Linked DNA regions of Arabidopsis thaliana. The protein of the gene in region 1 interacts with the protein of each later gene in a biochemical or structural test. Each region holds a gene or a part of one and is shown in the gene's direction. Other genes may lie near its edges.

Evidence for each region.
Region 2: the proteins of MLP423 (region 1) and AT3G11630 form a complex in vitro, tested with the Arabidopsis thaliana proteins (one large-scale study listed by BioGRID).

Annotation. Positions count from the first base shown.
Region 1 is NC_003070.9:8,500,091-8,503,843, reverse strand, and holds MLP423 (MLP-like protein 423), read left to right. Parts: upstream 1-1,778; 5' UTR 1,779-1,945; intron 1,946-2,301; exon of another isoform or gene 2,302-2,363; 5' UTR 2,364-2,385; coding exon 2,386-2,572; intron 2,573-2,910; coding exon 2,911-3,191; 3' UTR 3,192-3,444; downstream 3,445-3,753. Other genes in the region: AT1G24030 (Protein kinase superfamily protein), read right to left, coding at 55-242, 342-450.
Region 2 is NC_003074.8:3,670,370-3,674,122, forward strand, and holds the start of AT3G11630 (Thioredoxin superfamily protein), read left to right. Parts: upstream 1-1,666; 5' UTR 1,667-1,819; coding exon 1,820-2,026; intron 2,027-2,409; coding exon 2,410-2,484; intron 2,485-2,645; coding exon 2,646-2,727; intron 2,728-2,822; coding exon 2,823-2,902; intron 2,903-3,026; coding exon 3,027-3,152; intron 3,153-3,246; coding exon 3,247-3,360; intron 3,361-3,451; coding exon 3,452-3,568; 3' UTR 3,569-3,753. Other genes in the region: AT3G11620 (alpha/beta-Hydrolases superfamily protein), read right to left, coding at 1-48, 140-222, 320-379, 509-559, 666-716, 827-855, 979-1,050, 1,132-1,205 and 1 more. UniProt on the Arabidopsis thaliana protein: Thiol-specific peroxidase that catalyzes the reduction of hydrogen peroxide and organic hydroperoxides to water and alcohols, respectively. Plays a role in cell protection against oxidative stress by detoxifying peroxides.

The DNA of each region.
Region 1 (3,753 bases):
TTTGTAACATTACAAAGCCTGTAAATCACATAAATGAAGCTATATAGTTCCTACCTCTCCTGTTTTTAAAGTGCCTTGGTAAACTCGGCCAAAGCCTCCTTTACCGAGGAGATTCTCATCACTGAAAGAACTTGTGGCCTCCTCCATCTCCTTGAGGGTATAAACTGATGACCCGAATCTTCGCTTCCTTGGCTGAGAAGCCTGATCTTCGATTTGCCAGCATTCTGCTGTTCTGTAGACCCCTGAGAAGAAGGTTAGTTTCAAACAGATGGTGATTCAGTTTTACCTAAACCCTTTATATTCAGTAGTAGTAATGTCGAAAAACAAAAACAGTAACATACTTTTATGCCATCTGGCGAAGATGATGGAGAAAAGGAACGTACATGGATCCGTATCATATGATTTGCTTCTCCTTCTCTTGTTCCAAGCCGAAACAAGTGGAAAATGCATAGCTTTAGTTTGGATTTGGTTTTTTCTTATCCTTTGTAGACCATTACAAAGCCGATAGAAGAAGCTTCTGGTCTCGTCCTTAAGACAGAAGGGTATGTGTCTTTCTAGTCGTGAAGATGTTCTTTGTAGTTAGTTGCTTCCAAAGAAACAGAAGATTGTTGTGGTTGAAGATGATAAATATAGAGTGCAATAAAGTTAATTGATTTTGAGGGTTAGGTTTCTGAAATACTCAACAGCAGTATTTCAACTACCGAAAGTTCAAGAGAGAGAGAAAGAGACGGTAGAGCTGAAGAATACGTAGATTACATGTACGTGAAGCAAAAGAAATTGAGAGCCATCTTGAGAAAGTAAAGACTTGATGTTTCCTTAACTTTTCTAAGCTCAAATTCTCGGTTTGGTTCTCTTGTCTGAATCTATCTCCTTCTAACCAGTTTGTGTACGTACGTATCTCTGTCGATCAAATAGAGATGGGAAGCTGCTTTCAGAGTGTTTCCTTACCCTTTTCGTCTCAACTTTTTTCTCTAGACTTCTATATTACTATTTACTAATGTTGTTTTCATAGTTCGTTGAGAGAGAGATTATAAAAGTTAAACTTTATAAGTGGAGAAAACCTATAATTTTCTTAAAGCAATCTTAGTTTTTTTTAATAAGATTGACAAATCCTAGGATACTGTAACTTTAACGTATCCAATTGTATATTAAGGATTTGGGTTCGGATGAACTTTTGCTTCGAATAGAAATGATGACTCATTCTTAGAACATTTTTATTTTACGATTGAAGAGTGGTTGTCGTTTTATATCAATGGAAACCAACATGCTGTTTTCTCGCACAATGGTGAAATCAAAGTACCTAACGATGAAGAAATTGTTTTGGCTTTATTGCATTGCACCTAACCATGCCAGTGCCACCAAGAAGATTATTGTAGAAAATAAAGAGGAAACATTCAGCTCTTTATGATTAGAAAGTTTTATTCTTATGAAATGCAATTTGCAATTATTAAGTTGTTATGTTTGACTAATTGTGTGACGTGAACGTTTACTGATTTATTTTTGATCAATGATAATACATTATTTATAACCATTTAAATCTCATCATGTTTCACATATTGGCCCACAGTTATTATGAGAGGTCGTAAATGAGAACCAATTATGTAAAATATGCTACTTCACTTACTTGGTTCTTCAGATCGATTGTGTGACATTACCATTGTTCAACAAAGAACCAAGTAAGTGATCTGAAAAAATGGTAATCTCACAAAATCGATCTGAAGAAATACGAACAAGGGATTAGTTTATCTCTAGGCCATAAACACTCTCTATGATAAATAGTTTTTCAAATAAATCAAACAATTGAAACTTTGATCTAAAAACCTTGAAAGAAGAGAAACCAATTAATCAAGTGTTAAAAAGGGTAGATATAATCATGAAAAGTTGAAATAATTTTGTTTCCTAAAAATTTAAATCCATAATAAGAAAAATATATATGTAGATGAGTGTAGCCATAAAAATAACGTGTATGAATATATGAAAAATATCTAGATTTTTTTTTTTTTTTTTTTTGGCCGATAGACTCTCAATACTATATGTTTTTCAACATTTATCACCGACAATTTTGTTTTAAAGCAGTACAAAACCAGTTTTAATTTCTTTGTACTGAATGTTATACCATGCATCGATTTATTGATTCATCCACCTCTTTGAGTGGGTGAGATAGCAATGAAGAATGGCAAATGTATAAGCTTTAGGTTAATTTTAAAAAGGACCCATAGGATGAAAAATTAGTTGGATGAGTTGCTCCACATAGTTAATGCAATTTATCATATCACTAAAGGCTTTAAAACCTCTCTATATATAGACACGTTCATTGACAAGTTATACAAACAAATCATTCAAAGACATACAAAATAATTGAGTTTTTTTTTTAATTAGAAACAAATGGGGTTGAGTGGTGTTCTTCATGTGGAGGTTGAGGTTAAGTCTCCGGCTGAAAAGTTCTGGGTAGCCCTTGGCGACGGCATCAATCTCTTCCCCAAAGCTTTCCCTAACGACTACAAAACCATCCAAGTTCTAGCCGGCGATGGCAACGCTCCTGGCTCCATTCGCCTCATTACTTATGGAGAAGGTACATTTCTCATTTTGTCTTTAATTTGTAACCATAATTAATAAATCATGTTTCGAATAAATACCTAAATGGCTAATTAAGTAATTAGCATAAATCTTGTCGCATTCAAGATTGAGTACTACATTCATGAAGACATCTTTCAAAAAAAAAAACAAGTGTGGTTCTAGATAGGAAGACTTGTATGTATTAAAGATAATAATAAATAATTCATGTTACTTAATGGTCAATAACTCATTATAAACCCTAAATGATCTATGTCTTCATTGACTATATTTCACTCTCTCACCATATCTTTATTTAAAAAATGCTCATTGTTTCTACTCTTTACCGTAATATAGGATCTCCACTGGTGAAGATATCGGCGGAGAGGATCGAAGCAGTGGATTTGGAGAACAAAAGCATGTCGTACAGCATCATTGGCGGAGAAATGTTGGAGTACTACAAAACCTTCAAAGGAACCATCACCGTTATCCCTAAGGATGGTGGTAGCCTTCTGAAATGGTCTGGTGAGTTTGAGAAGACCGCCCATGAGATCGATGATCCACATGTCATCAAGGACTTTGCTGTCAAGAACTTCAAAGAGATAGATGAGTATCTTCTTAAGCAAACTAGTGCCTAACACTAGAACCTTTAAATTATATAAGAGGGTTCGACCGTCTCTATAAGATTTTTCTAATTAAGAAGTTGAATAAAGTGGAACCCCTTTATGAATATCCACGTTTTATGATTTCGGAGTTTATGCAGCCTAGTAGGCCATAAGCTTTTTACAAAAGCCAATTTAGTCGAACATTTTGAAAAAATCGAACCTTGTGGTAGAGTAATTATTTGGCTCTTGGACCGGATTGGTTGGTAGATAAAAAAATAAATTAAAAGACAAACAAATGAAGAGTCATATTAATGTAGTTTGAGTTTGACGATCGAGTTGGAGCCAAACCGAACCATATTTAAAGAAGGACATTCCGATCAATTGAGACTTGCCATGCAATGAGCAACTTGCAACGACGTTATTTATTGCTTTGCAACTTGGACTCAGAGAATCAATTTGGTGAAGGAAGCTCAAGATCTTGTATCAATTCTGTTTGACATGAAATTTGCGAAATAGTGACGGATCTGGCGAAAGATAGTGAACCGCTAATTAAAACATTATGGATTTGCAAAATCGTGTTTTTTTTTGTTCAACG
Region 2 (3,753 bases), on another chromosome or scaffold:
CTCAGCGATGCAATCAGAAAACTTGCTGTAGCCGACAGAACAGAAGACCTGCACAACATGATAACGATTTCACAACATTCTAAATAAAGACTGATTGGTTCTTTCCTATCGAGGATTCGTATTGAGAACAAAAGCTCACGCTGCAAGTTTGCCAATTAATGATTGCTTTGTTGATTGTTGGTTCAAAGTCAAAAATGGATATAGGCCAATGCAATATACCACCTGCAAAGCATTCCAGAGAATAATATAAGAAAAATCACATAGCACTGAAAGAAATTGTGATGGAGAAAGTACTACTCTTAGAGGAAGCCATCTATACCTTGTCCGAGAATTTCTTCAATAACTCAAGGGATATATAAGACCCAATAGAATGCCCAACCTACCAAGATCAATTAAGCTTAGAGTTGTAAATTTTCATGAAAATCTGGAAATCCATCCAACTAATGGACATATATATTTTGGTCATAAGAAGCAATATGTCAATGGCTTATACACATGACAGTCTTACCAATATTATTGGAACTTTCACACTCTCCAACTCCTGTCTGATAAAATCAATCTGTATGATAACTAACAGATTAAGATCTTAACTTCACAGGATGAACAATACAAGAACCTAAAGGCTTTCAAATCCAAGAGCAATGAAGAAAAATGATTTTTATTACCTTATGATCAATTTGTTCTTGAAATGAAAATAGCCTCCCAGACTCCCAGTCCTAAAAGTGAAAATAATCAAGTATCATGAAAGCCTATCAAACTAAGATATTATATGAAGAGAACCATCAAAGTTTACACACAGTAAAACCTGAAACCAAAGTTAACGTACCTTGCTCGTGTGAGATATTTGCCCAATAGCTACACAAATAAAACAAACCACTCCACCATTAGAGATCAGAAGAACAAACTCAAACTCAGAAATAAACAGCTTCCATCTTAAGGACTCAAAGAAATCAAACTCGAAAAGTAGAGCAGCCATACCAATTACAGAAGCATTTCCACCAAGAAACTCGTATAAAGATTCCAAAAAGTCCTTGTAAAATGACACAACTCCTGAAAAATTACAAGCCAATGTATGAAGCACACTAGTATATACACGTGCATGCATAAGAGTCTTGAGCATAATAATGAAACCTGGATTTCCCGGAATAAACAATACATGGAATGTGGGATTCTCAGCTTGAATTTCCATCATCTCCGTCATCGAACTTTGATCACAAATACAAAAAACAAAACAAAAAGTGTAACTATAGTCAAAGAAATTAGAAAATTTCGTAAAAGATTAATGTAACAATACCCAGAAACTCTGCACAATCTGGATTTAACATGTCTTTTAGTTTCATTCATCAATTTGTTTTGAGTCTCCATGTCTCCGGTCACGCGATTCAACTTATATCTTCTCTCAGAACTGTCAACACTTGAAAGGAGAAGATCGAGAGAATTAATGAGACAACAGAGAAACCACTAAAAATCAAAACTTTGCAAAATAAGTGAAGAAGCCTTTTAAAGTAAACCAAGTGAAGAGAGCACAACAATGCACCTGAAACAACAGGAGTAGATTAGATACTTTGGAGAACTGAACCACCGATCGGAGGAAGAAAGTAACGGAGAGACGGAGTTACCCAAGGTAGAAGAAGAAGACGCATATTTGCAGCAATAGTAATACGACCTCGTTTTGAGTAACGCGACGTCGTTTTATGAGTTTGGGTGTCGTCAGGCTTATCTCCACCTCATACTTCCACTACAAAGAGAGGTGATTGACAGATAGATAAGAGTGTTTGGTAGCTCAGACTCAGAGAGTCACAAAGTGTGTGTAGCAGCAATGGCGTCTGTTGCTTCTTCAACTACTCTCATCTCTTCTCCCTCTTCTAGGGTTTTTCCAGCAAAGTCTTCACTTTCCTCTCCATCTGTTTCTTTCCTTCGAACCCTTTCTTCTCCTTCCGCATCTGCTTCTCTCCGCTCCGGATTTGCTCGACGCTCTTCCCTCAGCTCCACTTCTCGTCGGAGCTTTGCTGTCAAAGCCCAGGCCGTAAGTTTATCTAAATGTCGATACTTTTCTTATTCGATGTCATTGAAATCTGAATTCATTAGCCTGTTATAGATTTCACTCTCTTCCTACTTGTTAGCCCTATAGGTTTTGGGGAAATAGTTAACGATTTATAGGTTATGCGACCGTGTTTCTGCAGATTACTCGAAAAGTTCAGAAATTTGAGTGACATTTTCGTTTAGGGTTGTTAATTTCTCTGGTGAAGTGAAATTGAGTGACATATGAGCTATACTCATTGACTGATTAGTATGTTCGGATGAGGTCTATGTAGTTTTGGTATAGTACCATGGTTATCTGATTGTCAATTTGACTGATCTTTCTCCTTAGATTTGATGTGTTAACGAGTTTTAATTTGGTGATTATAGGATGATCTTCCACTGGTTGGAAACAAGGCGCCTGATTTTGAGGCAGAGGCTGTGTTTGATCAAGAGTTCATCAAGGTACTTACAGCAGTTATCAATCACAGTTGCTGCTTCTAGTTAATCTGAGATTAAGTTTAGTTTTGAAGCTGAATGAGTAGTCTTTAGTGTTTTTTATTTAGTGAGTATATGTCTTATTGTGATTGGAAACTAATTGGTAACTGATGAATGTATGGTTTCAGGTTAAGCTCTCTGATTACATTGGAAAGAAGTATGTGATTCTCTTTTTCTACCCATTGGACTTTACTTTCGTCTGCCCAACAGGTTAGCATTGCTCGAGAAGTATATCAAAATTGAATATCCAAGGTTCCCTCATCCTTGAGTCCTAATCTTTCTCATTTTTTCCTTATGTCTTTTAGAGATTACTGCCTTCAGTGACCGGCATTCAGAATTTGAGAAGTTGAACACCGAAGTATTAGGTGTTTCTGTCGATAGTGTGGTAAGTATCACTATACATTTACTATGTTCTCATTTTACTCAGTTCCTCATCCTTGGTTGACATCACCATGTTCTTATCTGTTTGCAAATTTTTGATTCATTCTTATTTCTGTGTGTCCTCGTAGTTCTCTCACCTTGCATGGGTCCAAACAGACAGGAAATCTGGAGGGCTTGGTGATCTGAACTATCCCCTTATTTCAGATGTCACTAAATCAATCTCAAAGTCGTTCGGAGTGCTCATCCATGATCAGGTAATTGTTAGCCTTTAAATCTTGGCTACCTTCCTTTAAACTTTCGAAGTGTTTGGGATAAATGAAAACAAGAACTTTGTTTGTGTAAGAACAGGGAATAGCACTGAGAGGACTTTTCATAATCGACAAGGAAGGAGTGATCCAACATTCCACCATCAACAATCTTGGTATTGGCCGAAGCGTTGATGAGACAATGAGAACCCTCCAGGTAAAGATACAAATAAATACACACAACTCCAAAAACCGCTCTTTCCTTTCACTCGATTTCCGGTATGCTTAATACGTTTTCAATGTTGCAGGCATTACAGTACATCCAGGAAAACCCGGATGAAGTCTGCCCAGCAGGATGGAAGCCGGGTGAGAAGTCAATGAAACCCGACCCAAAACTCAGCAAAGAGTACTTCTCAGCTATTTAGAAACTCTACTATGATAGCAAAAAGGTACAATCTTTGTTATATGTGAGCAGAGTTTTTTTTCTTGTACGCTAAAACAATCCTTTGTTTGATTCTCACTTTGTCCCCAAAATTATAATAAAAAACTTTTTCCGTTAATGGAAGTCTTATTGTGTTACGCCTACAAATTCATATTCAGTTGATCACTT